Alligator mississippiensis: one gene and its partners. The protein of the gene in region 3 interacts with the protein of the main gene of each other region in a pairwise test. Links are inferred from orthologs where the notes say so. Each region holds a gene or a part of one and is shown on either strand. Other genes may lie near its edges.

What was found.
Region 1: the proteins of ZBTB9 (region 3) and EHHADH interact in binary tests that used the Homo sapiens proteins (3 or more experiments, as listed by UniProt). The two-hybrid records come from large-scale screens. The link is inferred for Alligator mississippiensis from reciprocal best matches to the Homo sapiens genes ZBTB9 and EHHADH.
Region 2: the proteins of ZBTB9 (region 3) and EIF4E2 interact in binary tests that used the Homo sapiens proteins (3 or more experiments, as listed by UniProt). The two-hybrid records come from large-scale screens. The link is inferred for Alligator mississippiensis from reciprocal best matches to the Homo sapiens genes ZBTB9 and EIF4E2.
Region 4: the proteins of ZBTB9 (region 3) and PIN4 interact in binary tests that used the Homo sapiens proteins (3 or more experiments, as listed by UniProt). The two-hybrid records come from large-scale screens. The link is inferred for Alligator mississippiensis from reciprocal best matches to the Homo sapiens genes ZBTB9 and PIN4.

The regions. Positions count from the first base shown.
Region 1 is NC_081830.1:29,982,863-29,990,300, forward strand, and holds the start of EHHADH (peroxisomal bifunctional enzyme), read right to left. Parts: upstream 3,266-7,438; coding exon 3,151-3,265; intron 2,151-3,150; coding exon 2,016-2,150; intron 1,134-2,015; coding exon 958-1,133; intron 1-957. UniProt on the Homo sapiens protein: Peroxisomal trifunctional enzyme possessing 2-enoyl-CoA hydratase, 3-hydroxyacyl-CoA dehydrogenase, and delta 3, delta 2-enoyl-CoA isomerase activities. Catalyzes two of the four reactions of the long chain fatty acids peroxisomal beta-oxidation pathway.
Region 2 is NC_081830.1:84,413,358-84,421,603, reverse strand, and holds the start of EIF4E2 (eukaryotic translation initiation factor 4E type 2), read right to left. Parts: upstream 3,221-8,246; 5' UTR 3,132-3,220; coding exon 3,112-3,131; intron 1,816-3,111; coding exon 1,701-1,815; intron 144-1,700; coding exon 9-143; intron 1-8. Other genes in the region: cytochrome P450 2J5, read right to left, coding at 4,574-4,752, 5,746-5,887, 7,228-7,415. UniProt on the Homo sapiens protein: Recognizes and binds the 7-methylguanosine-containing mRNA cap during an early step in the initiation. Acts as a repressor of translation initiation.
Region 3 is NC_081834.1:64,913,493-64,920,976, reverse strand, and holds ZBTB9 (zinc finger and BTB domain-containing protein 9), read right to left. Parts: upstream 2,638-7,484; coding exon 1,198-2,637; 3' UTR 892-1,197; downstream 1-891. Other genes in the region: SYNGAP1 (ras/Rap GTPase-activating protein SynGAP), read right to left, coding at 5,478-5,636. UniProt on the Homo sapiens protein: May be involved in transcriptional regulation.
Region 4 is NC_081831.1:39,604,338-39,612,328, reverse strand, and holds the start of PIN4 (peptidyl-prolyl cis-trans isomerase NIMA-interacting 4), read right to left. Parts: upstream 3,003-7,991; 5' UTR 2,878-3,002; coding exon 2,838-2,877; intron 2,761-2,837; coding exon 2,687-2,760; intron 1,804-2,686; coding exon 1,684-1,803; intron 1-1,683.

The DNA of each region.
Region 1 (7,438 bases), on a different chromosome or scaffold from region 3:
GCCTAAAATAAAAAAAGAAAGCAAAGCAAAAAAAGAAATTTAAAATGTGCTCCTTAGCTGAAGACAACCATGAACATGTCAGACTTACAACACAGAAATACGCAAGAGCTAACAGCATCTAGAAAAGGTCCTTTTGAACTGAAACGTTAAGGTTGCCTAAGCTATTGATGTCATTGTCCACATCACCAGTAGTGTACCAAAATCTGCCTGGATTATTGGTTAGAAATTTTGCTATTTCCCCACTAATCCCAATAGTGTGATGGAAAAGACAGTGTTCTGCTGAGATACAACAAGGCTAGAGGGAGGGGTTAATTAATTGGTGACCCAGTGACCTCATTAAAATGACAAAATGCCCAAAAACCATTAATGCCATTCTTAAGGGAAGGCTGAAGTGTTTAATGATTGGTTTAAAGTCAGCACGTTAACAGACAAGCATTTTCACATGGAAGTATTGCTCCAGGGCTGTGTCCTGGTAACTCAGCAGAAGCTAGTGAATGCCCCTCCAGGAACAGGCTGTCTCCAACTGTGCAGATCTAAAAATAACAGTGTAGTACTACAACAGCACCAACACTGCTTAGCATGCATCAGCCTTGATCCTGAACGCCCGGAAATAGAGTGCAGCAGGGAGCCCATGTCAGCTGTGCCTCAGGGCAGGAAAATCATGGGATGAGCACTCAGGCAGCTCTCAGCACTGACCTAGAGTGAGCTGCAAGTGAGCCATACAGGGAAGTGGTGGAAAAGCAGGTGAAGAATGGGGGTGTCTGAACAAATACTGTGAAGTCCTAGGCATGCAGATGAGGCAGTAAGATGAGAGCCTCTCCTCTGGCCTTACTGTGGCTCCTGCGAAAACCTCAAGGTGAGAGATCACCCTGTTGTACTCCGTGCACCCCTGTACAGAACCTGACCTTGCGTACCTGTGGCCCATTGCTGAACTCTGTTGTTACCATCACATCCTACCTGTGCATGTGCAATCCTGTAATGACAGCCCAGTGCTACTTCCAAGCCTCCTCCCAAAGCCACGCCTTCAATGGCAGCCACCACTGGCTTCTGACTTCTCTCTATCAGAGAGACTGTTTCTGCCAAAGCAGGTCTGTCTCTTGGCGGGAGGGAGGAGAACATTCGAATATCAGCACCTGATGAAACACAGAGGAACTTAGACTGTAAAAAAAAAAAACCAACAAAAAAACCCACACACACACAAAAAAAAAAACACAGCAGGGAAAGGATTGCCTATCACGCCCCTTCCTTCTAGGCAACTCAACCCAGCTGAAATACCATGGAGTCCAAGTCAGACCTGAACTTGCAAGACAGCAATCCTGATTCCCAGGCTTGTCAAGCAGGTCAAAGATGGTGAAGAAAGGTAAAACTAATCAAACCCCTGCACAGTGTCCAGGACCCTATGTGACAAAACCTATTATTAGCCTTTTCTGTCTTTTGGGGTATAGGCTAAATAACTATAAGTGTGTGCAGTAATCACAAATCAATGTCACGACACTACTGTAATTCCCAAGCAATGGGCTCATTGCAATGGGCTCCGTCCTTTGCCCCTGTTTACAAATACAAAGGAAAATACGTCTTATATTTAGTGTCACCCATTGGGAGCGTGAACCATGGGTAAGGAGGTGAAAAAGGATCCTATATGGTCAATTTCTGAGAAACACCACATTAAAGATACATCAGGTTCCTGTAGATGGTGAATGGCTAGAATAATACAAGCATCGAAATACCCCAGACCCTGCTGCTATTCTGAAGAACTGCAGAATTTGTCACCAGGATACCTGTAGTGACTGTAACAGGACTTCCATGGGACATCAAAGTAGTGACTCAGTGGGTGCATGCAGGTGTGCACTGCAGCTTCTACCATTTACCAGTAAAGTCATATGACCCACAGACTGCTTCTCTGTGGGTCAAATCTTGATCCCATCAGTTAAAGGGAAAAGCTTCCAGAGTCTTCAAAGGGGCAAAGAATAAACAGGAACTCTCCATCCATACCTACCTGAAGAAAAATGCCTTACCTGCAGAAAATTTCCCATTTGCCCCACAAATCACAACAGCTTTCACAGAAGGGTCTGAGTCTGCTTTCTTCACTCCTTGTGCTAAAGCCTGGACGACTGCAGAGCTAAAATAAATCAGAGACTCATTGACTGATACTTACCCACGCTATGAATCAGAGAGTTCACATTTCTCATAAATATTAATAGCAGGCCAGGCACAGCAGCATGGTAGAAGGGAGCACCGAGTCCCAGTAAGCTTCTGTAGACCAGCAAAGCTATGCTGGATATCTTATTCAACCCACACCAGCCACATCTTCCATAGAAAACTGCCCAAGTGAATCCGTGCACCCACAGAGAGTCACACTGAGCTCAAGGGCATGTACTGGTTGTTAAGGTCACACCCAAAGCTACAGTGCCAACAATGCTTGTTAGATATGGGGTGCTCAGCTCTCAGCCTGAGGGCCAGATCCAGCCCTCAGTGCTGTGTAATCCAGTCCATACAGCTCCCTACAGATCTTGTGGGGAGTTCCATGGGCTGTGACCCTGGATGCTAGACTCGGCATGCAGGGTGGCATGGGGCCCAATCCTGCCACATAGGGACCGGGTGGGGGCAGTATTAGACCATCACCCATTTGCTGAAATGCCTTGTAACACATTTATTTCTATGGAAGCAAGTAAGCAAGCCAGCCCAACATGCAATATGGGAAAGACCTTTTTTTTCCAAGGCAATTAAATTACTTTCCAACTTAAATGCTTGCACTCAAAAACAGAAATGGTCCCAAGTAGTTTATAAAAATGAATACCAAACCCTTGACAAGATAAGGAAAATATTTCAAAACCCTGAGGGGAGTTTAAGCCAACAGTTCACACCCATGGTATGATCTAGATAATTATCAGGCTTTGAGCTGCCACCACTCGTAGAAATTTAATGTTCATGTTCAGGCATCTGGGAGGCTCCTGGTCCTGGGTATGACTTGAAACTGTACCCTGCTGGGAAAGGATGGCCTGGTGGGGCTTCTCGTGGTGGGGAAGCTCCCCAGAAATGCCAGGCCAGTTGCATCCCCGGTAAAAGGCAGGGAGGGGCTCCTTAAAACCCCAGCCCCCACATCCTGATGGCATACCTTGATTTAGGGCCAGGCACAGGGACCAGGCATACCTTTGCGCACTGGAGGCGCCAGGGAGGGGGTGGGAGTTGGCCCAGAGAGGGTGGGCAGGAGAGTAGCCCCAGAGTGGGGGTAATAGAGCAGGTGTGGCCCACAGAGTAGGGGCATCTTTACGACCTGAAGGACTGCGCGTAAGGAAGGTGTAGAGTAGGACTGAAGGCCAGTCTGAAGGGCTGCACCAGGGGGTGTGTTGAGTAGGGCTGAAGGACAGCCAGAAGGGCAGCACATGGGCCAACCCCCATAAGCATGTGAATATATTGTGAACGTTGCCCAGTGAGGGGCTGGGGGCAGAGTCAGCTCAGTGTTCAGTTAATTGGCTGGTCACTGTCTGGATGAGGGTCACGGAAGACCCAAGAGGCTGTATGCCAGCCAGCCAAGGTGAGAGTAGGCAAGCCTGATGGCTGCTCAAAGGAGTAGGGCAGAGTGAGTGTGGCCCAGCGAAGGACAGCGTGCAAGACGCCTGGTCAGAAAAGGCAGAGTGGAAGAGGCCCCAGTGAGAGGCGGGAGGTATGCGTGTGACCCCAAATAGGGTAGTGTGCAAGAGGCCCAACAGTGGACTGAGTCTGACCCTATCTCAGGCCAGAGCTGTAATAGCAAACTAGATGCCATCTGCAAGGCATGGGCCACAGTATAGGGAAGGCATGGAGCCATGGATAGCACCCCTGGCATTGGGGCAGTAAATGGGCAGCCTCCCGCTTGTTAAATCAGAGAATATCAAGTCATGGCAGGTAAGACAGGGCACAGGTAGGAGGCCAACATGAGACCCGGTCCTGTCATGCCCCCTGTCACAGCAGCCAAAAAGGTAAGATATGTGGGGCCAGGGGGGGTGTGAACAAAGCTCACTGAAATGGATCCCACCCTAGATGGACAGGGCTCTGCCTCCAGTGGGGCAAGAGACAGCAATCCCACTACTGTCCATCTAATGGCTATCAAATAAAAAGTGTAGTTGAGTCACCATTGGCGAAGGAAGACCAGGAGCACAAACCAGACTCCACCACCTTCTCCTTTCTAGGGTACTGCCCTTCTCACTGAGCCACATTCCCTCCATTTATTGTCCTTCTGGTTGCCCAGTGGGCCAGCTTCAGAAGTGAGGCTGGAGAGTGTGTTTGGCAATGCATAGGGGGTTGGAGCACTCAGCTGGGAAGTGGGAGATGCAGGTTCAAACCCCCTTGGAGCAAGGGGTCTCCTGCTTCCTGGGCAAGCGCCATAACAATAGACTAAAGGTGGGGTGTCCCCTTCTCCTTTCTACAAGTTACACACCTAAAATCCATGGAAGTAGCTCAAAAAACTACGTGAGCTGTCCAAATGCTACCTCAAAGCATCAAAGTGGACCTGAATATGGGCTGTTGGGGCTAGCTTTCTTGATCAAAGGCCACAATGAAAGGTATATGAAATGAAGGAAGGGAGGACCAGCATACAGTACAACCTCCTTATAATGAACCACCACAGGGCCAGGAGAAAAAAATCTTTAAAAGAGGGTGCTTGCTACAGCAGGGTTAGTTAGTTGGCTACACCATAAAAATGTGGGAAAAAAGAAAAGAAAAAAGAATTGGTATTATTAAAAAACAGTGGCTTATTAACAATCAAGATTTATTACAATGAGATTGTAGTGTATTCCAAGATAAGAATTGGAAGAAACAGGGAAGTTTCTGGCCCAAAATGGGAGAGATGCTGTCGCATTTATTTTATGTTTAAGAAATAAGGGAAAGAACAGACTTCTTACAGGAGAAAGGGCCATGACCCCAGAGAAGAGAAATGCAGACTGAAGGCTATGACAATGGGGAAACAGCTGACGGGAGAGAGGAAATGAACTGAGAATGTGCAGTTGAGAGAACAAATTAACTATCATGCCAGGGCAATAAGACACCTCATTAGGGATCTGGAGACTGGGTAGAGAAAGTGGCAGGAAGAGGAAAGGTGGATATAGCAGATAAGGAAAGAAAACCATCCCAAATAACAGCAGTGTTTCACAATATAAGGGGCCCTGTCACATGAAGTGAGCTTTAATCAGGCCAGAAGAGAAGGCTGGTACCAGGGAGCTGGTGCAGAGGGAGAGATGCATGGGGAAGCTGAAGTAGAGTTGTAGTAAAAGGGGAGTGAGCAGTGTGCTCTTGTACACTGGATACCCACCCGAGCCATCCTTAGCTGACCAGCTTCAAACAGCAGCAGCAAACTTGGGCAGCAGAAGAAAAACTGATGACTCAAGCTGTCAGAAGAGGAATGGGGGCAAAGAAGGGCATGGAGAAAGAAGAGTTTCTGCATCCAGGGGAAATGAGAAGTACTATATTTACTCAACTACAAGACGAGGTTTTTTTCCCCCATTTAATTGCGGAGAGCCCTTCATCTTGGAATCAAGTATGAGGCAGTGGGAGGGGTAAGCAGCTGCTGCCTGTCCCCTGCTGCCTCTGCACCCCGCCATCTCCCCACTGCAGCCCCTTTCCCCCGCATCCCCTCCGCAGTCTCTCTCCCTGCCTCCCCACCCCACCACTTTATCCTTGCCCCAGCACCAGGAGGCTCAGTCCCCACTCCAGCCTGGGGCATAGAGCAAGATCCCTGCCCACTGCTGTAGCAGCAGTACTGAGCTGGCAAAGCTCCTACAGGGCTGAGCTGGGGCATGCTCTGTGCCCCAAGCTGGAGCTGAGATGGAGCCTGCTGGCATCAGGGCAAAGGCAAGGGAGGCACAGGGGGGAGAGCAGAAGCTGTGGGAGGGAGGGGAAGGGGGAGTAAGCAGCAGGGGGCAAAATGCTTGACCTCCTCACATTACCTGCTCCCCCTCACTGCCTGCCACCCTGCAGCGGTGGGGAGATGGGGTGAGAGGACTAATTTAGAATGACCATCCAATAATTAGGTTCTATACATGGAAAATAATGACAAATTTATACATTTTTCAAGTATAGAATGTAATTGTTGGGAGGGGTCATCTTAAATTCAGGGTCGTCTTGTATTGGGGTAAATGTAGATGTTCAGAAAAGAAGGGAGGAAAAAAAATCAAGGGGGAAAGACACCCCCACATTGTCATCCACATTCAATGAAAATGAAAAGTTGCATTAAATGAACGGACACAGAGAGGGTGAGACACATGAGGAAATAAAGTGAGCAGGGAGCAGATGGCCCAGGAAATCCTGGGAAAGAAGCAGGGCTTAGGAAACTGTCCTGAGTACCCAAGTTTTTGTGAACTGGGAGAGAGCATGAAACCAAGGGCAAGAGTCCTCATGCCCGGAATACCAGTAAGAGAGACTGAAGTCCTCCAGAAAGCAAAGGAAGAAAAGGGAAGGAAAAATCATAAAATTAATGAGAAGGGGCTCAAGAGGCAAGAGATGCTGTGGCTCAGCTGGAAAGGCTGACAGGAAGGCCTAGAGCAGGGAAGACTGATCTGTGGTACGTGTGCCACAAGTGACCTAGGCCGTTTGCTGTGTGGCATGTGGTAGAGCAACAGTTTGGGCTGGGGGCACAGGGCAGGGAGCAGAAAGCAGAGCAGCAGGTGAAGGGGGTCAGAGTGGAACTCAGGGAAGGCGTGGGGTTTAATCTGTCTGCCACAAAGGTTGGCTCCCGCTGGCCCAGAGTTTCCATATATTCCTGGTAGTCTATGCTCCCTCTTCACTCTGCCTATCCCTGGGGAAATTTTGGGATGGGCCACATCCCAGTCCTGTTTCTTTTCAGCCTACTTCTGCCACTTCTTATGGCATGTGACTTTTTTACCTCCCCTTTGCCTCAGGTGACTCCCAGCTCTTCCCATTGTCCTCCCACCATCCCATTCCACACACCAGTCTCCCCCTATTTCAACATCTCACCACCCTCTGGGACTCATAGGCTTCCTTCCCAAGCCTCTTTCTTTCACTGTATTGCTGCTAATGCTGCCATCCCTCCTCTCAATCAGGCCTGCAGCTAGGACATAGAACAGGGCTTGAGGAAAGGGATGGCAAAGGGAAGCTACCCAGAGACTGATGCTAGCAGAAGCAGCTCAAACAGGGATCTCTGGACACCATCAGAGCATCTACAGCTTTAAGAAGGTATTCCCTTAACTGTCCTGACTATTGGTTTATTTTCACCCTTCCCTAGTTGCCCTTTGGTATCTCTTCTCCTTTCTCATATTTTTCCATGTAGCTAATTTCCCTCCAAGAAAACCCCATCCCAAAACCTTCAAGAATTGCAACGCTAGTGTGACATGCTGCTGACTTTGCTTGTGTGTTTGACCCTTTCCACCTGCCCTGGGCCTGTCTACTTGAACAGCAGGATCTCTGGAGCAAGGATCATCTACTTGTGCCTGCACACTGCCTGGCA
Region 2 (8,246 bases), on a different chromosome or scaffold from region 3:
GTACTCACGGAGGCAAAGGTGCCAATCTGTTTGATGTTCTGCTCGTAGCTCTGCGAGCTGGTGGGCCTCCCGGGCGTTCGTCTGGAGTACCAGAAAGTATAATTATACTGCAGTGGGTGCTCGGCCGGCCCTGGGACAACAGCCTGCAGAACAGAGAACCTCATTTATCCTCACAAATTACTCTGGAGAAGAGACCGAGAAAGCTATATGCATGGCATTAGAAAGGCACGTGGTCCTGCCACCACAGAGCATAAAAGGAACAGTTTAGCCTCATTTTCCTAGAAAAATCCCATCCTGGTTAATAGCTTGACACAGATCATTACTTCAGCAGTGATCGGCTGTATTTCAAAGAGGTTATTAGAAATCCAGAGTACTTTCGCTCTTCGAGCAGGAAGGGAAAGTGCTAAGGGGCAGCAGCCCCAGCCCCAGGAAGAATGTCACCCGATAGCAACCCCTCAGGCAAATTTAGGAAGGGCATTAATAAATTCTGGAGCGGCTCCCTTTAACCCTGGGCTGCCAGGACAGTTGCAGCGGTCAAGGCTGTCACAGGCCATGGAATGCAAAACAAAGAAGAGAACGGGAGCTTCTCACAGAGTAGTCTATTCTTCTCTTTTGGGAAAAGAAAAAGCATCTAAAGTGAACTAAACCCCAAATCAAGTGAAATACTCCACCACAATTCCAGTGGCAGGGTTCAGTCATTTAGCTTTCTCAGAGCACTGTCAGCACGCAGGCAGATAAAGACAGAGGGAGTGCCAGGAACAGCCACTGCCTATATAAAAGGCTTCCAGCGTACATTAATGCAGTCGCCAAGAAACAGATGTTACACTAGAATCACCAACCTGACAGAGGTTCCATCATGCAAGGGAGAAGGAAAAGGTCCAAGCTGATCATGCAAAGATGTTACACTAATTAGAGAGCAAGTTTTAATGAGCGCAAGATTAAAGGAGAGGAGGTGGTTTCCCAAACCTGACTGAACCATGCTGTATCTGCTTGTAATCACCCTTCAAGGACAGACTATTTAAACAACAGCACAAAACTTGATCTTCTAAACCAGCAGTTTTCAACCTCGATGCAGCCTTGTGTTAGACTCCAGGCCCCCTTTGAAAACACTGGTTCCTAAGCTCTCACTCATTTTTTTTACTACAAAAACATACCAGAGCAATTATTTTTTGTCAAAAAGCTCACAAAGACCACAACAGAGCAGAAAGATTATGAAACTCTGGGTTTCTGTTTGAAGTGTCTGGTTTTATCTTGCAAATAGCATCTAGGTGTTTGCACACTTAACAGTACTAGCATTGCACAGCACTTCAGGGCACCCTTAAAAGGGCTGCATGGCACCCAGCATGCTACAGTACCCTGCTTGAGAACCGCCATTCGAAACCAAGAGCAAGCTCCCATCTGCAAATACTTCTTGAGATTTGCCTGAAGCAAGTCAAGCTTTGCTTTTTGTTTCCACAAGTTCAACTCACTGGGTGAAGATTTCTAATTGCACCGGTGAACAGGGTACTCGAGCTCAGCTTATTATACTGTACGCTCATTAGCCCTAGTTTGTTAGTACCACACTGACAGAGCAGCAAGCAAAATAACAACATGCCGACATGCATCTTCCTTACAGCAGAGCTACTGGACTGATCAAGCCCCGTCAAGTCCAGCATCTCCAACCGTGCCTTGACGACAGCAGTGGAGCGCACAGCACTCACCTTCCTCTTGGTGCTGCCCTGGGGCTTGTCCCGGTCGTTCTTTTCCTTCTCACCGTCTTTCTGTGTGCTGTTCTCTTCGTTCTGGTCATGGTCCCCACTGTCGTCATCTTTCAAACTGATGAACGTGAGGTGGGAGGAGAGAGAGCCTTAAGTTGCGCAGGAGCAAAAATGTGGCCACCCAACGCGCACCCCATGACACAGAGAGAAGCTGGGAGCCCGACAGAGACTCGTGCAGGGAGGTGCGTTATGAGCCCCGCACCCGTCACAGGTCCCGTGGCCGATACAACGCCCAGGCATCATTTGTTATCCAATACTTAGCTGTACCAATAATGGGTACGTTACCCCGTAGATTCCTATTTAAGACGAGGTCTATTACTCTGTAATTACTATTTAAGACAAGGTATAGTACCCCATAGATTCCTATTAAAGACGAGGTCTACTACCCCATAGATTATTATTTAAGATGAGGTATATTACCCCATAATTACTATTTAAGACGAGGTATATCACCCCCTAGATTCCTATTTAAGACAAGGTATATTACCCCATAGATTATTATTTAAGACGAGGTATACTACACCACAGATTATTTATGACAAGGTATATTACCCCATAATTACTATTTAAGATGAGGTATATTACTCCGCAGATTCCTATTTAAGACACGGTATATTACCCCATAATTACTATTTAAGACGAGGTACATTACCCCATAGATTATTATTTAAAACGGAGTATATTACCCCATAGATTATTATTTAAGACAGGGTATATTACCCCATAATTCCTATTTAAGACGAGGTATATCACCCCGTCGATTCCTATTTAAGACGAGGTATATGACTCCACCGATAACTATTTAAGCCGAGGCACGTTACCCCGTCGATTCCCATTTAAGCCCAAAAATCAGACGCAGGTGAGAAGTGCCATGTGCCGGGTCAGACCGTACGTCCGTCCCGCCACGTCCCAAACCCCGGGACCCCTCGGCCGGCCTCCTGCAGGCTCCGAATCATCTCGCGAGGACGGGGCTCAGGCCCCGGGGCCGGCGGGGCTGCTTTCCTGCCCCTCCGCTGCGCACACCTGCAGGCAGGGTTGCACGGGGCGGCTCATTGGACTCGCTCGCCCACCACCCCTCCTCCCCCCTGGTCCATTAGGTGTTAATTTGTCCCAAGCAGTGAATGCAATCACCAAGGAGGGGGGTGGGGGGGGGCTCAGCCCCCGTTTCTAAAGGCCAATCAGGGGCTGGGTCTGAGCAGCCTCCACACTGAGGCCCAGGAAGGTCCCCCCAAGCCTCCCCCTCCCCCACGCGCGCGTCACACATCGCGCCCCGCCCCCTCCGGACCAACGGCCGCGGCTCCCCCCGGGGGGGCGGGGGACGAGGACGGAGCCGAGGCGGGGGGGCGCGACTCACGCGTCAAATTTGTTGTTCATCCTCGCTCGCCGCCTCCGCCTGCCTCGGCCTCAGGTCCTTCCGCTCCTGCGGGGCCGCCCCCGTCACCCGCCCGCGCGCCACTTCCGGAAGCGGAACCTTTCCGCCGGGGTGCAAGTTTCCGGGGGGGACGCAATAGTCGCCGAGCACATAGTGAGGGAATGTCAAAGCGGCTCGTCCGCCATCTTGAGTGTGGCACCTTCCCTCCCGGCAGCCATATTGAGTGTGGGAGAGCCCTGCCAGGCGCCATTTTGAGTGTGGCAGACCCACCGCGGGAGCCGCCATGTTGGGGGGGGCTGCGTGTGATGTCGCGAGCGGCCGTTGGAGGGCGCCGCTGCCTTCCCGCCAAAACGGGGTGGCCCCAACGGTCGTGTGGGTGCTCGTGGCTTCATGTTCGTGCTCTGAGGGAGCAGGTTCCTGCCTTAGTTGTGAGGCGCTGCGGCCTGGGAATGAAAACCAGCCACGGCTAACAACTGCTCGCCTGGGCGGACGGAAGATTTTGAAAAGGGGGTTGTGGGGAGCAGGGTGCCTCATCCCCTCTGAAAACAACACGCAGCCGGAAGCTTTGACTGATACGCCAGGCTGCACCACGCAGGCGACGATCGCAGCAAAAACCACGTACGGCTTCACTGGACCGAGTTAGAAGCGAGGTGTAGGGCCGTGAAAGAGGAGCTTGGCTACCAGGAGCGGCAAACAGGCCGTGGCATTGGGAGAAGGAAGGACCGTTTGATTGGTGGAACATCACGACCGTGAAGAAAGACGGGGTTATTATTGCCTCTGGAAGGCAGGGTTTAAAAGGGATCGTCTAGATTATAACGAGCCATAAATGATATGGACTCTGTCGCTGCTGGGTTAGAAATGCTGCAGGCACTACCAGGGGTGTATTTGGTAGCCATTGGCGATGTGTAGGGGTACACGTGCGTGCACATGCACCCTCTGGGATTGGCTGTGTGCTCCCTGGAAGCGCCAGCCGCAAATTGGAAGCACGCTTCCGGTTTCGCCGCTGGCTCGGCGATCGGCAACTGGAGGAACCCCCCCGGCTGGAGGTACCAGTCGCCTATGTTGATAGCCATATTGGTCTGCACCGATGCAAGCCATCCCCACCCCTCGGATTTGCCCCCGGTTGCTTGTATTCTTTTTCTCTCTACTAGGGAAATAGTAGTTCTGGACCAGCTCATGCCACCCTCCAGCCGAGCAGCTGTGCCGTGCACCACAAGGACGGGGTGGCTCTTTGGCTTGATGTTGAGATCCGTGTGACAAGCAGGCATGGTTTGTTAGCTCGCTGAAAGGAATTTTAGGGACTCAGCACAAGGATTGTTGGTCAGACAACAACTGTAATGTGTTAAGAGACAAAGGGTTTGCAAAGCAGTGGTTTCCAAATGCCAAGGATGCCATTCGAGAATCCGAAAACCACTTCCCAGCAGGTGTCTGGGAAGACAGAAACTTAACGAGGAACAGCACACATTTTATAGGGTTGGGGCTGCAGAATGAACCCTACGATAGGCTTCTTGTTGATTTCCTTCACTCCTTCCGGCAGCCGAAAGGTGAATGCTCTCAGCAGACTGGAGAACATGATAAAGAGACTTGTTTTTGCCAGCTGTTCCCCCAGACAGACACGGTGTCCTGCAGGGTGAAGAGGAGAATTTATCACACATATCTAATAACCCTTGCAAGTGGAATTATGCCTCTGCCCCCAAGTTGAGGAAGGATACAATTCATTGGAAATAAATGACAATGTTTAATGTCTCAGTATGGCTTGATACTGTATAGATGTAGGGAGCACCAGAGGCACTGATCACAGAAAGTTTAAAAAAACAAGAATACATTTCACCTGTTTGTCTTCTGTCATTGTTTTGTCTCCCATATTCATTCTTGCAACACCACTACAAGGCTGTGCTATTTTTCCATTTTACAGGAGGGAAACTGAGGCACAGAGAAGCTTAGTGACTTGCCCGCAATCACAGAGGAAGTCTATGGTAGACTGGGGAACCCTGGTGTCTTAGTTTAGCACTCTAACAACTGGACCGCCCATCTCCTCTGCCAAATGGGATCAAGTCAGTGTTCCCCGTCTTAGAAGTCATGCCTACGCTAGGAAAATAGGTTACGTTTAGAAGCTACTAATAATGTAACCTGAGTTTCTACACTTCTAAAAATACGTTGATTGGCTGTAGCTACCCCTAGATGGGACTATTATTCTCTGAAAAGTAAGTTTTTACATTCCTTCCAAAACCATTTTTCCTTAAATTACCATGGATATTTGTTGCTCTCGTGTTCAATATCCAGTCTGTTTTTAAATCCTGCTGATTACTTGCTTGCTCTCCATTTAAATGTGATTGATATGAATACACTCAGTATCTGTCAGAATTCAGTGCTGCCACAAGGAAACACATTTTGCTACCACAATTCCAGATAAATTTGCTAAGAAGCTTCAAAGAGCAGTTAGTCTTAGTTTCTTCAAGAAAGAAAGAAATTATCCGCCGTTGGAGATAATACGTTTGTTTTCTGAGCTCAAGACTTTACTGGGTTTTATAAAATAAGATCGGATGAAAGGCTAAATAGATATCAGTCTGTGGAGCAAGTACCCTGCTACACTGGGTGTAATGGGATTAATGTTACCTGCTGAAAATGGCAAAAAGGCTTCTTTGTTCAAAAAGTTTCCACCTTTGTCCAGGAAGTGACTTGGGTTGAACTCTTGAGGGGTCTCCCAATGGTCAGGATCATACAGAACAGAAAATAAGTTGGGATAAATTAAAGTGCCCTAGAAAGAAAGACAACTCCTTAAGAAAATAAAAAAAATATTCCCAGCAGAAACATCCTTGGACCTCCTATGGCTTCCCAATGCAGTCTGTCATATCCCTTTAAAAGTGCCTAATGCAAGAACAAGCTAATTCTTACATGTTCACCCTCTGACACATACTACAGAATAGTTCATTAAAACAATTACTTCAGCAGCAAGGTCTTAAGATTGATTCCAAACAGTCTGAGGACGATAATATACAGCCAAAAATTAGAATGTTTAATTCTGGAAAAATAAACACCCCAGACTGAGTGTGGAACCCAATTCTAAAGTTGCGATCAGTGGAGCATGACCTCAAAGACATCTTCCTCGCTGTCTCCCAAGGAGCTATCTGTAAAGTCTCATCTGCTTGGGAAGGTATAAGGTAAGGAATAAATTTAAGGAATATATTTCTATTGGTAAAATTCCTTTTATTCTAGAATATGTGCCTTTTTCCATTTAACTTATGTATTTTTGCCTTTGGTTTCAATAGTGCCCAACATTTTAGCTCCATGGGTGAGTTGAGTGGCACAGGGTTGGTCTGTGGCTTGGCTCCTGTGTGGGATTGATCTATATGTGCGATCTAAGCACGCTAGCCCAATACTGGGTGTCCCAATCTGGCCAGGTGCCAGCCTGACCTCATGTGCCCCAATCTGGCCAGATGCTGGCTCGCCCCCGCGTGCCCCAATCTGGCCGAGTGCTGGCCCGCCCCCGCGTGCCCCGATCTGGCCGAGTGCTGGCCCGCCCCCGCGTGGCCCGATCTGGCCGAGTGTCGGCCTGACCTCACGTGCCCTAACTTGTCTAAGTGCTGGCCCAACCCGACCCTGTGCACCTGGATCTTGCCATGTACCAGCCCAACCCTGTGTACCTTGATCTGACTGTGTACTGTAGTGATCTATCGCATGCAAGACCATGTTATCTGACCTACAGAATTTGAGGTGGGTCTGGAAATTTGGGAGAAGAGTGGCAATTAACTCTGCCACCATTCTTCTGCTGCCAAATTTTCAGACCTGTGGGGAGCCTTGTGAGCTGTATGACAGCTTTGTGGGCTGCCTGCGGGCTAGAGGTTGAAGGCAGAAGAAAGGTAAAGTTGTGCAGGAGTTAACCTTTACTTACTGAGGTCCACAACCTATCCTGCAACCTATCCAATACCTATTTTTAATAAAGAGTTTTTTTTACAAATTGTTCAACCTTACTTGTAAACCATTCCTGCACAAAACACAGAAAAAACATCTATTGTTTAAAAAGGTAAGTGGGAGTTATTACTGTTTCAAATTTTGCCCAGAGAACACCTCTGAAGTGTGGTAATATACTTAGCATACCTTACTAACTGGAAAGCCCTGCACAGTTGTATCCTTGGCACACTTTCGTATAACCCCTATTGCACTTATGCTGCTATACCGCAGAACTTCATGTAAAACTGCATTTGTGTAGGGTAGGATCATTCGGTCCTCATATCGAATTTCACGAGATGAGCTAATAGTAGTGTCCAGTTCTTTTTGGACTCGTTCTGCAGGGAGAAATTGTCAGAAACCAAAATTTAAGAAATTGGTCAAAGCATGGACTCTGGCTTCTCAAAATAAGTCACTGTAAATTGCAGGATTAAATCAGATTAATTCCTAGTTCATACATACAACTTTGTCCCTTATTATGCTCAGGAGGCTGGAGGCCAAGGCCCCTTCCCTGCATTCTCCCCAGTGGGGTGGATGAGATGGGCTGGTCATATTCCCTCTGTCAACTTGCCCTGGGTTCCCCTGTCAGGGATGGGGACCCTTTGTTGCTCTAAAGTTTCTGCTTTTTTATTTTTTTCCCTCCTGATGACTCTTCATCCGTGGCTATCACTGATTGGTCTCTGTGATCATCATACTGTCTACGTTCTGTCCTGTCAGGTTATTCCTTTGTTTCACAGGCCCATCACATGCACGCATCCTAATTTGGGCTTTTCCAATGTCCTCCTAATTTTGTCTGTTCCCCCAAAACCAGAACTCTCAGGGCCCCCACCCTCAGGCCTTGTGAGCTGGTGCCACCTTATCTCATGTTATGGAACAGTGTCATATATGCCCACAATTTCCCAGGCTATGTCTAGCCATTGACCTTGTTGTCTTGACACCCTGTCTGCCTTAAAGGCTGTGAGAACTGTGTTACTGTGTGATCGGGCCTTTAAAAGTTAATTAACCCTTGCAGCCGCACTTGACTATTGTTCTAATGCATATATAACCTACAAATCAATTTCTAAAACCAAACCTCTAAATGTAATTTTCTAGCCATCAATAATGTGAACAGTGTTGTCATTAGGGCTGTGCAAAGCTTTGGATCATGATTTGGATTCGGAGATGATTCG
Region 3 (7,484 bases):
GGACAGCGCCGGCCCCGGACGCCCGGACGCCGCGTCCAGCACCTGCGGGGGCAGCGCGGGGTCAGCGCCCGGCCCGGCCCGGCCCGGCCCGGCCCCGACCCCGGCCCGCCCCGCACCTGCACGGCGCCGTTGCCGAAGCCGGCGGCCAGGCGGGCGGCGGGGCCCGCGCCCAGGCTGTAGATGCCGTGCGCGTCGGGCCGCAGCGCCACGCGGGGCCGCACCCGCACGGGGCCCGGGCCCGGGCCCGGGCCCGGCGGCATCCCTCCCCTCCCCCCCGCAGCGGTTGTCACGGCAACGCGAGGCGATGCCGAGGCAGGACCCGAGGAGGGGCCGCGGTGGCGGTTGCCGGGGCGACGCGGCCCCGCCCCCAGCCCGAGCGCGCGCCGCTTTCAAACCTCGCTCCCCCCGTTACGTCACTGCCGCCCCCAGCCCATTGGCTGCGCGCCTCCCTCCGCTCGCGCCCCCCACCGCTCACCTGCCATTGGCCCACGCAGGGCAACGCCCCCCGGCCGCGTTCCCTGCCCGGGCCCCGCCGCCCGGATTGGCAAGAAGGGCCGCTTCCGCTGCGGGGCGATTGGCCGGCACCCCTCTCCGCCCTCCGCGGCCGGCCCAATCAGCCTCGGTGTCGGCCAAAGGGGCAGGGGGCGTAGCCACGCGACCCACCTCCCGCCCCCAGGAGGTCACGCACGCCAAGGGCCAGGGGCACGGACGTTGGTCATGTGGCAGGTCACAGCCACCAGGCTGCGCCGCCCGAGCCCGCCCCCAGGTCGGGGCAGCCCCCGGCCGAGCCCGCCCCGCTGCCCCGGGGAGGCCGTGAGGGCAACACAGGCCCCGGCCCCAGGCCGCTCTGCCCCCTCCCCCCGCGGGGGACAGACGAGGCCGACAGACAGATCCCGGACGGCCCCACGCCGGGCTGCAACTGTTTATACAAGAACGGGTTGGCACAAGGCTGCACACGCTCCCCCCTCCCCCACCCACAGCTACCCCCTTAGTGTTTCCCAACCGCCCTGCACCACCTCCTTCCCGGGGCCAGCATCGCAGCACTGAAGCCGCAGGGCCCAAATCGCCAGCTCCCACGTGCCCCAGCACCAGGGCGCCGGCCACGGGGCCGGGAACCCAAAGGCATGGGGGGCAGAGCGGTCAGGCAGGGCCCGGCCTGGCGGGATGTGGCGCGGGGCTGTCCCCGCCCGCCCCAGTCTACTTGTAGGTCCAGCAGGCAGTGGCCCAGCCCTGCCCCTTGCAGAGCTCCTTGTGCTTGAGGAAGCAGTTCTGGACACGGAACTTGCGCCCGCAGTCCTCGCAGGAGTACAGGTTCCCGTCGTGCGTCTTCATGTGCTCGGTGAGGTGGTGCTTGAGCTTGAACTTCTTGTTGCAGACGGAGCAGCCAAAGGGGCGCAGGCTGAAGGTCAGCATGATGTGCCGGTCCCGCTTGGGCTTCACGGCGAAGCGCTTCCCACACAGGCAGCCGAACTTCTTCCCGTCAGGCGCCGCCACGATCTTGACCGGCGCGTGCACCACCTGCCCGTGCACCGTGTGCGCAATGATCTCGTTGCCGTGCAGGTCCACCGGCTTCCAGGAGCTTTGGGGGAAGCCGACTTCGTCCGAGGGCAGGGGCTGGGCCTTGATGGTGAAGCCGGGGGCGGCCAGCGAGGAGGAGGAGGAGGCGATAGCGCTGGTGGCAGTGCTGCCTGCCGCCGGGATAATGTAGCTGACCTCGCTGCTGCTGCCTGGCGGCAGACTGGCCTGGTAGAGGCCGTGCACCTCGGCTATGCCCAGCGCCCGGCCCTGTGCCAGCGACTTGAGAAAGCAGGCTTCGCCCACAGCCCCGGCCCCACCACCCAGCGCCGCCACTGCAGCCTCCTCTGGGTCGAAGCGCTCCTGCTTGATGTAGTAGATTTTGGGGTGGTCTCGAGGGCTGGGGAAGGGGCCGTCCGGCTCAGCGGAGGCCGGGCCCTTGGAGACGCCGAGCCCGACCTCCTCATCATCCTTCAGCACGATTTTCATGGACTTGTCCAGGGACCCACTGCAGATCCCGGCCGGGTGCTTGTCCTCCTCCTCCTCCTCCTCCTCCTCATGGGACACCCGGATCTTCATCACCTCATCGTCCGGGCAGCCCGGCACCCCGCGGGCCACAGCCGCCATGCCGCGCTCCCCGCCGCCTCCCAGCTCCCCGTCCTCCTTCACCGCAAAGTAGTTGCTGCTGCTGGGGGACTGGCTCTCGCTGGCGCGGCTGGACCAGGGCCGGTAGGGGCCGCCCTCCAGCTCCTTGAGGATGGCAGAGCACTGGTCCACCACCTGCCACATCTGCAGCCCGCTGGCCACCAGCAGGTGGCTGGGCAGCGCCTCCACCAGCAGCTTGAGGCGGCCGGAGTAGATGAGCTGCAGCAGGTTCTCGAAGGCGTCGGGCTCGATGACGCTGGGCAGCGCCAGGCAGCTGGTGTCCTGCAGCAGCAGCTTGTCGTGGAAGTAGGGCGAGGCGGCGGCCAGCACGCTCTTGTGCGCGTGGAACACGCGGCCCTGCACGTGCACCGCGATGTCGCAGAACTTGCCCTCGAGCCGGTGCTTGTTCAGCGTCTCCAGCAGCGCGGCCGCGAAGTGCGGGAACTCGATCTGCACGCTGCGCGCCGCCGCCTCCATCGCGCCGCCGGGCGGGCCGGGCCGGGCCGGGCCGGGCACGGCACGCCGGGCAGCGCTGCCACCGGAGCCCGCACCCGCTCCGCCGCCCAGCCCCTTCCCCCGCGGGCCCACTGCAGCCCACCCACCCCGGGAAGCGCCCCGCCCCTTCCTTCCCTTGCGCGCGCGGGCCGACCGGCACCCAACCCTGGGAAGCGCCCGCCCCTCCGGGCGGGCCGACCGGCACTCAACCCCGGGCACCGCTTCGCCCCGCCCCGCCCCGCGGGCCGACCGGCACTCAACACCAGGAAACACCCGGCCTTGCCCCGCGCGGGCCGAGCCCGAGAAGCGCCCCAGGCAGGCCGCTTCCACCGCGGGAGCCGCCCGTGCCGCCGCCGCTGCTGCAGGGCTCAGCCCCCGGCGCCCTGCCCTGCCCTGCCCTACGCGACCGACCACGATGTATCCCACGCGCCGGGCTTCTCTCGGGAGCGCCCGCCACCGCCGCTCCGCAGGCGGCCAACCAGAAACTAACCCCCCCCTCCACAAGCTTACCAGCGCCCAGCCCGGCGGACAGCCATTTCCTCCCGCCAGCCAACCAGCGCCGCCACCGCCGGAGGGCGGGGCGCCAGCTCCCAGCACCTGAGACCTGATTGGCTAGAAGGAGCCAATCGCAGGGCCTCTCGAGCTTCTTGCCGAGCTGGGTTTTGGTTGGCCACGCCCCCTCCCCGCGCGGCCCAGCGGACATGTGCGTGAGTCGCCCCCGGCACGGGCCCCCGCCCCGCCCCGCCGCCCCCCCGGCCCGGCCTTGCCGCGAGCACCCCGGGGCCGAGGCGGCGTAAAAGAACAATCGCTTTTTATTAAACATTTTCATTTGTTTCCGATGTTGTCACCACACACTCCAGAAAAAAAAGGAAAGAAAGAAAGAGAAAGAAAGAAAGAAAGAAAAGGGCCGGGGGGGCGGAATAATAAAAAGAAAAGAAGAGAGAGGCCCGGGGGCACCAGCGGGCGCCGGGCTCACACCTGAGCTCCCTTCCCGGGGCGGGGGGGGCAGGCGGGCTATGTACAGAGAGTGAGGTCCAGAGAGGTCTATGTACAGTACAAATCCGGTGGTAATTACAGCACCCAGCCCAGGGACGGGCAGGGGAGAGGGGCAGCGCGGCCGGGTGGAGGGGCGGGAGCCGAGAAAATTTCACATATGTACAAACTTTTATATAATAATAATAATCATTAATAATAATAATAATTAATACGTATAAATATCACGGCGCCGCCCTCGTCCGGGATGGGGGGGGGGGGGAGGGCGGTGGAGGGAGGGCAGGCGTGAGGCCTTACAAAAGAAATATGGACCACAGGGAGGAGGGGCTGGGGGCCGGTGAAGGGCGAGGGTGGCCCTAGCCGGGAGTCTGAAATAGAGACACAGAAACAGCAAAGAAACACCCAGTACAATCACTGCGCTGAACACATTCACCCAGCAGGTCGGACCATAGCACGACGGCGAACAGCCACAACAGGCCCCCTCCAGTTCTCCGTGCTCAGGCCAGGGGGTAGGACCGGCGCCCCCCACCCCCACCCCCACCCAGGGCCCGTGCCCGCGCTGGCGGGTGGGCAGAGAAATGGCTTCTTCAAGATTTCCCGTTGGTTGGTCGGTGGTCGCGTTCCCCCCCTGCCCCCACGTTCGCCCCGTGGGGCAGGGCCTGGGGCGTCTCGAGACCGGGAGGAAACGGAGAAAGAAAAGAAAGAAAGAACGAGAAAGCCCCTCCCGTGGTGCCCCGTCTCCCCCAGGCAGCTACAGCCCAGTGTCCGTGTCCGGGGGCCGGGGGCGCTGGCCAGGCCGCGGGCGGGTGGGCGCTGAGCAGGCAAAGCCCTTTGTCGGAGTAGAGAGCACAGAAAGCAGGGCTGGGGCAGGCGGCGGCGTGGGAGACCCTCCTCCCCCCACACCGGCGCCAGGCGGGGCAGGGGTGGCAGGGCGAGCCGGGGGCAGAGCCCAGCACTGCCCCCAGCAAGAGGGGAGGCTCCCCAGGGACGGGGGTCACCCTGCCTTGCAGGGAAGGGGCGGGGGCAGGTTTGCAGGGGAATCTTGGGGCAGGGGCAGGGACAGGACCCAGGGCCTCAGTGCTAGGATCCTCGGTCCAGCCACGGGCACCTGTCCCCACACTCCCCATTGCTGGGGGGGCAGGGGCAGAATCAGGACCCTCTTCCCGCCCCATGCCCAGGGGAGCCGGAGCCAGCCAGGCCCCCCTGGCAGGTCTCACAACCCCCCAAAGCCCACAGCTTCACCCCAGGCAGTCTCCCTGGGGCTCAGCCTGGCGCTACACTCCCCCATGCCCCAGCAATGAGGCAGCTCAGAGGCAGTGGGGTGGGTGGGGTGTTTCGCCCCCGGCCAAGGCATAGACACCTGGGCCCCCAGGGGGCAACTCAATGGACAGTCTGCCATGGGGTAGGGGGCACTCCTGAGATAGACGAGGGGTGGGGGGGCCAAGGGGAGAGCGTCGGGGCAGGTGGTGGGGAGGGGTGGATGTAAGATTGTCATCTGTGTCCTGCTATAAAACACCCTGAAGTTGTGTTTGAAGAGTCGCACCGTTCCCCGAGGGACGGCGTGATGGGGGGCTGGGGCAGGGGCAGGGGCAGGGCAGGGGCTGGTGCGCAAAGGGGGGCAGGAGTGGGGGGCCCCTCCCCCCAGAAGAGGGCGGGTTTATTTGCTTGCTTGCTCGGTTGCGATGCGGGGGCCGAGGGGGAGGGCGCCATGTCCCGGCCAGGGTCTCTGCTGCGCCCCCAGAGCCGCGGGCGGGCGTGCGGGCGGCAGCGGCGGGCAGGGAGGGTCCGCCCGGCGCGGGGCCCGGCGCCACATCCCGCGGGGGCAGTGGCTAGTGCTCAGCAGCGGTGTTGCGGAACTCTCCATTTTCCGTGATCTGGAGTCGCGGGGGCGGAGGCGGGGGCTGGGCGGGCAGCATCCCGTTCCAGGGCGGCCCCAGGGCGCCGCTCACACGCGAGTCTGCTGCACCCACGGCGGAAAGCTGCCTCTCCTGCAACGCAGACATGCAGAGCACGGGCTTATTTATTAACGGCACACGGGACATGGCCACGCCGCCCCCACCCGCTCTGCACTGGGCCCCGGCCGCGCCTGAGGCCCTCCGCCACAGGCTGTCCTGGATGGCCGGGCTCCCCTTGCCTCGCAGGGACACGCTGCAGGCCAGGCCCACAGCCCACGAGGAATGCTGGGGCCCTGCTCCCCGGGGGGACACAGCAAGGCGCGGCACCTGGCAGGACTCTTCAGCAGGAACTCATGCAAGCCCTGTGCCCTGAGGAAACGGTGCCTCATGCCAGCAGTGGGCATGAGGACTGCAGGCTCTGGGCGGAGCGGAGGACCCAGGAGATGCAAGGTCTGCTCCCCACCTGGCCCCAGAGACAAGGGCAAAATGCACGCAGCTCAGCACACGCTGCCAGAACCTAGGGACTTGAGAGTTAGCAGCCAGTGGCAAGCACCGGGGGGTGGGCCTAACGGCTGGGGGGCCAACCTGCACTGCCCTCGGCCTTGCACGCCCCGTACAGGTCACAGATGCCAGCCCTCCCAGGAGGAGTGGCTCCGGCAGCCCACGGCCCAGGTGGCCTGGGAGCACCACACCACGTTGGGCAGACCCAGACCCCTGCGAGGGAGATGCCACATGGTGCCAACACCAGCTCGCCCATCTGCACTGAGGTCCCAGGTTCTCCCCCGCCTTGCGGCGCCAGGTGTTGTCTGCCTGGGCAGGGTAGGGTAGGGGCACAGATGAGGTCTAGCCATGCTGTCCCCTTCCCCCACCCAGGGCCCCCAGCCATCTCTGATACTAAGAGCTGCCCCGGCCCCCCAGCCCTCGGCCCATCCTGCCCAGCCTGGGCACTGACCTCTCACGCCAGTCATCCAGCACCAAGGGGCCCCCCAGGGGTGCCCTCTCCGGACAGGGGACTGTGTTGCCACTGCTGGAATCGCACAGCCCGCCGACCCCCACCCTGTCCCCAACAGTCACACCAGACAGGGACACGCACACACATCCCATGACATGCACCCTGCACCCCCCAGACAGACAGACAGACACCCCATCCCCAGCAACCAAGCCTTAGGGAACCAGGAACCTCCAAAAGTCAGGGGGGCAGAGGCACAAGGATGTCCTCCCTCTGCCTCCCAGCTGCTGCCCTGGGGAGCAGACCCCTGGGCTGGCGGCACTGCTCCCTTCCCCCAGCCCACCCTTGCACCCCTGCCCTCTGCCCTCCCGCCTGCGGAGAGTTCCAGGTTCCAGTGAGATGCGGTGTGAACAGACACAAGACAGGAGGAGGACAAGACACAGGGAATGCAGGGCAACCAGCACTGAGAGAGACAAGTGGAGGCACCAGCATGACACTAACTGCCCTTGTCTGGTGAGAGACAGCTCCCCCTACCCTCACCCCGCACTGCTGAAAACCCCAGCCAGACCCACCCGACCCCATTTCTGCTGCAGACTGTACCTCCACCCAGACCAGCACATCACTGGGGCCCACCCTGCCATGATGCTCAAGAGGTGGGGAGCAGCATGTGGCACAACAGCCAGGAGCCCACTGCATAGCTGCTCTGCCCTAGAACAGGGGGCACTGGGTGGGACACGAGCAAGGGTGCCCATGGGGTGCTGGGTGAGAAGGGAGGCAGCCGACGCAGGGGAGCTTCCTGCCCTGAGGAGAAGAAAAAGCAGCCCAGTCCCAGATCCTTAGGCCCGTGGAAGGCTAGAGTCGGTGCTGCTTACCCCTACACAGCCGTCAGAGGTCCAAAGTCAGAACGGGCCAGTGGCCAGGGGAGTGGCTCTCTTCTTGCTCCCAAGCTCTGGGGTGTCCCCGACCCAGAGGCTGATGCGCTCAGTGGAGAA
Region 4 (7,991 bases), on a different chromosome or scaffold from region 3:
GGGAGGATGTGCTGGGGCAGGTGTGGCTAACCTGTGCCATGTGTGCCACAAGTGGTATGGACAGCCTTTGTGCAGGACATAACAGACCAGGGAGGGAGCAAGGAACATGGCAGAAGAGGAACAGAAAGCAAGGTAACAAATCAGACAAGGGAAAGGCACTTGGGGGTGGGGCTTAGTTTAGCTTGGATTAGCCTGCCAAAAAGGTTGGCCCCCCTACTATGCTAGGGAAACTATCTTACCCTATTTTTCATATCAAGAGAGAACTGGGTGTAAATCAATTATCACCTTCCCTTCCCCTCTAACAGTACACAACTGCTCCTTTGACAGCAGCTGCCCTCTTGCAATGGAGATTGTTAGTTCCAGAGCAGAGTTGCACATCATTTGAATGCATAATGGTCCTTTCCAAGCGCTCTTAAGGAATACTTCATTCCCAACAGCAACAGGTCTTCTATAGCAAGCTCTCCCAAAACACAGCCCCAACATCAATGGCAAAGTTCTCAACCTTTTTAGACTGAAAGCTGCCTCTGTAACTGTTCTGCATTTAGTGGCACCTCATTTCAAAAAAGAAATGTATTTATTACAGTGTGTAAAATGCTTGCATATATATATCTGGTATCTATTATGTCAGCTATAGACATGGAGAGAGACAGCCCCTGCCCTAACACACTGCAAGAACAGAAGGCAGTAGGTACCTCCTTCCCCAGACCTGCCTGGGGGCTCAAGATTTGACCTTGAGGGTACCATGGGATTCTTAAGTGATGGGAAGATGGCACAGGTGAGGTGGAGGCAGCTCTGGCAGAGCTCAGCAAGCAAGGAAATGGGGTTCATGTGGTCTCAGCCAGTGCTTGCTGCTCTGGAGGTGTCCAAACTCTGCTTTCCAATGGTCCTTGCCTACCAGGCAGCCCACAGCACCCTGGGAGAAGGTTGGAGCCCAACACCCAGTCTGGAGCAGCACTACTTTGCTCAGTTGAGCCCAGAAGAGGTAATACTTACTGCATTGTATGCTGTCTGACTTTCCAGAGACCTCACTAGTAGGGCTTGTGCCCTGGGACAGTTTCTCAAACCTACTGTGCATCTAACTCCCCCCATGGGTCCCCCTCTACCAGCTGTGGTACACTTGGCTCCAGCATGTTCTTCTCTGCCCTGCTTTATGCCTTTCTTTTCAAGCCCCCCCAACAACATCCAAGCTGCCTGCTGCCTCCTCAGCTCCTGATCTGTGCCCAGTATTACTTTTACAGCCCCTACTGCAGTTATTGCTTACCCTTGCTAGATTCCCTTAGACAACAGCAATGGTTAGTGAGCTGCATGGAGCAAACAGAAGGTAGGAGCCTGTATCTACCAGGTTTGGGAAATGCTGACCCTGGGCACAAGTAGCCAGAGGGGACCTGGGAGGCACCTCCACTTACTCAGCACCTGGGGCTTGTGCCCTCCTATTCCTCTGTTATGTCACTGGGACCTTCAGACAGGCTGGGCTTCACTAACATGCCCTCCTGCCACTGCTGTTTCTCAGTCCAGCCCTGCACAGCATTTCATGCAAACAGACTCCCATGGCACTCGCACCAGACTGCAGTGGTGCAGCACCCTTGAAAAGGTCTCACAGCACCCTGACTGAGAACCCCTGCACTAAACCTTGATGTCTCTCCATTATTAGGCAGGCAACCCAAGAGTGCTGTCAATATATACCCCCTGTCTTGCTTTATCTTCACTGAATTGTGAAGCTACATCACTGAAACGCACTCCAGACTTCAGCTTCTCCATGGCATCCATAATTTTGCTGTGCTTTTCACACAGGATGTGCCTGACCTAAAATACAAAAACAAGAGGAAAATTACATTGGGGGGCAGAGATAGTCTTATTTCCTTTTGCTCCTTTTACGATGGCAGCAGCTTTCAGATCCTGTAAAGGCTTGCAGCTTCTATTGCCATCCCACAGAAGAGCCAATGCAGAGCAAAGCAATGGTCTCTTCTCCACAGTCTGCTCTGGCTGCTACAGCCTGGCTGATTCTGCGTCTGGCAGGGGGTTGGACTAAATGACCTCTGAAGGTCCCTTCCAGTCTGACTTGTCTAGAAGTCTATGAAATAGCCCGTCATCCCTTCAGGTAACAAGTCTAACAGCACAACTCACAGACACATGCTGTGGTTAGCGGCTGTACTTGAGATTTACCATAAGCCCTTGGTAGTAGACTTGTGATACCACCACTGTTCCCTCAGGCAGAAGCCCTGCAGACAGGCCATTTATCAGCTCCCCTCTGAGTTCACTGTTGCGCGGTGCGGCCGATTGCAGCTGCATCTGAACGATCATTTTGCCAAGCAGTGCAAATGAACGCTAGGGAAGCAGTGAACATCGCAGGTCCAGGCAACTCAATGGCCCCTGTGCACAGCTGTACCATGGGCCCTGCCCCTCTGCAGTGGTACCTCATGCACCCTGGGGTCGAGCCCGCAGGGCTCGCTGTGAAGCCAAGCTGGGGGGGGGGGGGGGGGGGGTGTTATCTTGGTGAGGCCCCGCTGGGCTGCCAGAAGGGCCGCCTCCCCCGCACAGGCCGCCGGGCCCTTGGCGGGAGGGAGCGGGATAGGCGCGGGGCTCTGGGGAGCAGCTCCCTCCTGCCGCCGAGGCCCAAGAGGCCTGGGCCAGGCCGAGACGCGGGACTCCCAGTACCGCCCGAGGCACCGCCTGCCCCGGGACTCACCTTCACGGCGCTGCCGCCGCCCTTCGGGCCCTGCGCCTTCTGCTCCGCACCGCCGCCGCCGCCACAGGCACCTCCTGCAGAGACACCACAGGAGCGTGAGCAGGCGGCCTGCACCCCCCGCTCGCTCGCCCGCCCGCCCGCACGCACGCACCCTTTCCCGCCTTGCTGCTGCCTTTCCCCTTCGGGGGCATCTTCGGAGCCAGCGGCCGCTTCCTTCAGACGTCACTGCACCGCGGCGGACCCGCTCAAGCCCCGCCGCCCACCAGCAGCGGGACCAGGCTGCCCGGCTGGCGCCTGACGGGCCGGCGCAGCCTGTCAGGCAACGCTTGGACACCTCGTCCCGCCCCGCGCAGCCGCGCGCACAGGCCCCGCCTGCCTGGGCCCTAAGTCACGGCTCGGCCGGCGCTTGTAGCGCCTCGCCTCGCCTCGCCTCGCGGGGGTTGGTCCCGCCCGCGGCTCCTCCGCGTCCGCCCTCGTGCGAGAGCGCCAGAGCTGCTTTGGCGGCGGGAGCGTCTCCGCCGCCTCGGCCCGGCCCGGCCCGGCCCGGCCCGTCGCGTCGCGTCATGCGGCCGCGCCGCTCGCTGCGGCACAGAGCAGCTCGCGCGCCGCCTTGGCGCAGCCCTTGAGAGCGGGGCTTGGGCGGGGCGGCCCGCAGCGTGCGCGGGCAGGGCCCCGGGGCCCCGGCCGAGCCGCGCCGCTGCTCCCAGGCCTCCCCTGGCCGAAGCCCACCAGCGGCCCCTGCGGTATCGACCCGAGGGCGGGTCAGTAACTTCCCGGGGTTGCCGCTCTCAAAGGAAGCTTTCCCTGACGTCTAAGCGAGTGGCGTTCAACCTTCGTGCCTGGCAGGCCAGACAGGCAGTGCCCGGTCAGTGCGTGGGCTGGGTCGGACCAGAAGTCCTGATCCAGTTCCCAGGGTGGGCAGAGCGGGGCCCCCTCCAGCTACGCAGGGCTCAGGGCAGCCTGTCCCCAATCTGGCTGTGCAGTGAGAAGGGATTTGGCACAGGTCAACCTGGCCCTGTAGTGGGACAGGGAGAAGGGGCTGTGGCCCAGCCCTGATGATCTGGCCCTGTGGGTGGAGGGGTATGGCCCAGCTCCAATCCTTGGGAAATTGGCAGCAGGGAGGGGTGACAATAGTAGCTGCCACTGTTCCCCTCCTGCCAAATTACTCCACCTGTGGGGAGAACAATGGGCTGGATGCCAAGCCTTCACAGGCCACATTTGGCTCAGGCTGGAGGTTGAGCACCCCTAATCTAACTTCAGGGGGAAGCTGCATGTTATGCTTGGATCATTACTAATAGCACTTAAAATGCAAGCATCTGCATGTTAAAGCTTGTTAACTGGTGCTGAGTGTCCTTTGAGTATCTCAAGGTTATATTACCTTAAGGTGGGGGGAAACTTGTAGCCATGCTACCTAGCTCATGTTAGGTTATCTTCAGTCTGCTTCACAAAGCTAAAACTCTGAAAGAAATCACAAAAAGGCAAGCAAGCCAAACAGCGTCTCCACAGGATTGCAGATGTTGTCCCCTCCCCACCCTTCACTGATTCTGCAGACAGCTGGAGGCTGATACAAGAGAGGCCAGTAATGAATCAGCACAGTTAACATCTGTGCTGTCCCCTCAGGCTTTCAGTCCCTGACTATTACGTTGTGAACGTGTGAGAATTTGTGTAGGCTGTAGCTTGAGCAGGACAGACAGGAGGGTTTCTGGAGCTCCACTAATGGTACCAGGGGGGCAGGGTGCAAACATCCAGTCTTTAGTCCTAGGTCTGAGTAGGGGCCACATAGGATGATTTTCAGAGAGCAGCTGAGGGCAGACTTCAGGAGAGAGCTTGCATGGGTGTGTCCAGGTACTGGGGCAGGCAAATAATGAGCTGTCTTTGGAGCAGTCAGGAGTTGAGGAGACACTCCGCATGGGACACATGAACTTGTCATTCCACAGGCCAGCAGGGCTAAGCAGAGCTTTCACCCAGTTTCCTGGGGCAGCATACTGGAACCTTCTCAGGGGAGACCTCATACAGCCTTGCTCTGACATTGAAAGGCCTCCCCTTTCTGGCTGCAGTGCCCCTGGAACTCACCGGGCCTGTCCAGGAAGCAAGGCTGTGGGGCAGAGCCATTTTCTCTAGTCTTGGAAAAGCGTCCTTCAGAAATGTCTTCCAGTCCCAGACCCCCCCTTCCTATGCCCAAACCTTCCTACTGTGATCCCAGCCATGCCACATTGAGCACAGTCCCAACCTTCCCATCTGTAAGGCCCTAGAGCCTCTGCTCCAGCATGAGTGGGAGCTCTGGGACACAGTCATTCTCAGAGGCCGAGGGATGTGAGATCAAGAATAGCTCCCCTCAACCTTGCAGTTCAAACAGTAAGAGGGAGGGGACTCAAGCCCCTTCAATCCCTCTGCAGTGTGGGAAGATGCAGTCTTGCCACTCAGCCCTTGAGATCCCATTCCTGTTCCCCTCCCCCCTTCCCCCCCATGATAACAGTGTGAGCTTAATTCTCATCCACTTTTTTTTCAGACAAACAAGCTGTCCTTTACATTGGTTGGACTTTACAAGCCCTGCCCTTCCACCCCATCACCAGGCACTGTTAGAAGTAGTTTGCCAGAACTACCCTCACAAAGCCTGTCCTGAAAGTGGTGGTGCCTCAGAGGTTCAGTCTCGGGTCTAGTAGCAACCACCAAACCTTTAGACCTCTAGTAACCAGGCCTTCAGGAAGCACTTGCTTGTATCCAAGTGCAACCCCAGGACCCTCTGCTGTGCTTTGTGGCCCCCAAAGGGGCACTTCATAGTTGTCTGGCAGATGCTCAGTCAGTAGCTGGAGGGGGTTTTCATCACCAGTGTCAAGGGGCGATGTGTAGGGGGTGGTCTGTGATTCCCACCGGCTGATGCCTCCCGCCCCAGCGCTGGTGGTGTCTGTGGGAGCTCCCCCGCTTACTGCTGCCCCCGCTGCCATGCTCCTGCCACCACTGTGCCCCCCCAGCTGCTGGGGGCATGTGCCCATTCATGCCAGTGTCTGATGTAGTGCTTCATGAGCCACAGGAGGGGCAAGTAGGTCAGGTCCTTGAGTAGCAGGGAGAAATAGTCACTTTCTAGCTGTATCCTGGGAACACCATGGGGAAACACTTCCTCTGTCATCAGGGGCACCAGGCTGGAGTTCCTGAAGCCCCTGGCATTGTGATCTTGCCTGACGACCCAGTGGTAACAGATATGAGCTATCCTCACTGGTCCATGATGCCTTTCAGTAGGGGAGACATACCCCTTTTACTTGTACTCTGGCCTATATATAGTACACTGGGCACAGAATGGGAATGTGCGTTCTATCGATGGTCCCAATGCAGTTCAGAAAGCCCTTATGTTTAGATCCAGCCAAGATCTTCTGTAGGTGAGAGAGGCAGAGGAATCATGGCACCTGCATCTTCTGAATGGAACAGCACACCTTATGGACAGGTAATCCAGTCATGGACTTGCCTGTGCTGAAGTGGTTGGTGACAGACTGGAGGCTACTGCAGATGCCAGTTTCCAGATGGCAATTATCACTCACTTCTCTATGCTTATGGCTGCTTTCATGCTGATGGCTTGAATTTGAAGCGACAGGGCCAGCGCACAACAGTGCTCAAGCAAGGCAGCTGCTCATTGGTCATTATCCCAGGTCCTTGGGACCATCTGCTCCCACCAGCGAGTGCTTGTCCCCTGGACCCAGAAGCAGCAGGACACATTCTGTAGGTGGTCCCAGAGGAGGCTGCCTTAATTGAGTCTTTTACTTCTTCCTCCTTGGGCACCCTGCTTTTGGATTTAAAGAGTAAGACGTAACTTGAGAAGGAACCGTTTGAGTGCCAGTGTTATGGAACCTTGAGCTGCCATCTTATGGCAGACATGCTCAAACAGGACAGTAAGTATGTCTGGGTAGGTGAATGCTCCCCACCATGAGCTGGAGAGCAAAGCCAGTATTTTATGGTGCTTCTCCATAACAGACTGTAGGGCTGGGTAGGCAATGTTTTTTGGCTGGAGTGTCGAAAAAACCATGTCTACCTTGGAAGGTACCGGAGTGCTGGCATGCCAGAAAAACAAGGGCAGGGGGTACATGGCAGGATGCACTGTATATAAGTATAGTTAATAATCATAAATGCGTGTGCGACCTGGAGCAGCAGCACACAGAGGGCCTGCACAGGGAAGCTGCCTGCTACTGCCCTGGCCACACTTCCCCTGTATGCACGGAGGCAGCGCAGGCAGCCGTGCAGGGTTGTGCCCCTCACTCCTGCCCCTGCCTGCAGGGGAAGTGTGGCCAGGGCAGCGGGGAGCTTGGAGTGGCAGGCAGCTTTTGTGCGCCTCACCACTGTGCTGTGCTGTGCCATGCTGAGTTCCACACACTTCTCTGCAGAGGTGGTGGGGGAGGGCAGCGTGGCGGGGAGCATCACTGGTACCTGATGCCTCCCCCGAGCCCAGGGCTGGGAGGCAGCTGGGGCTGGGAGGCAGCAGCTGTTTGTAGCCTTCCGACTGCAGCCAGCCCAGGCTCTGGTTCAGCCTTCGTGCCTGGCAGGCCAAACAGGCAGTGTGACTGGGCGAGTCTTCCCTGGGGTGGGTAGGTCAGAGAGAGACACAGCCATGGTGCCTGGGCTGCTTGCAGCCTCCCAACTGTGTGCTGGGAGCAGCTCAGGCTCCGTGGCTTGCAGCAGCTGCCTAGAGCCCAGGCTGGCAGTGATGTGCCGAGCGAAATGGCCTTGTGTGCCATGGTTGGCATGCGTGCCGGGGGTTGCTGACTCCTGCTGTAGGGCAAAGACGGAATAGTCATTTTCTGCTCTTGGACATGTTATGGCACCTTGCTATCCCTCAGGTACTCTGAAAATAGTGTTGGACAGCTCTACAAAGCACCATGAGGCCTATGGCTGGAATGTGCTATGTGAGAGCACGTAGCTGTGCTCATTATAACTGTGCCCCTACCTTCCATAACCAGGGTGCAGTTTAAAATTCATGTGAACATACCTGATAAACCTGTGATGTAATGTTATACTCAAGTCACCTTCCAAATATTTCCACTGTGTTTAGAATATCTGAGCACCCTTCCCCCCCACCAACTTGTTCACACTTTCCCTCTGACATATTTGCAGTCAAAGACAGAAGTTTTGCACAGCTCTGGGGAAGAACCAGGACACATGCAGCCAGGAGGTCTGACAGTTATTAGAATTTACCAAGCTTGCAATAGTTAAAAAGTACAACATTCAGAAATATAAAAAATGTTGCTTGGATCACCTCCGAGTGCTGTACAGGGACAAAGTTTGGACTAACATTGCAAAAGAGGCCACTTTCCCGCGGGGA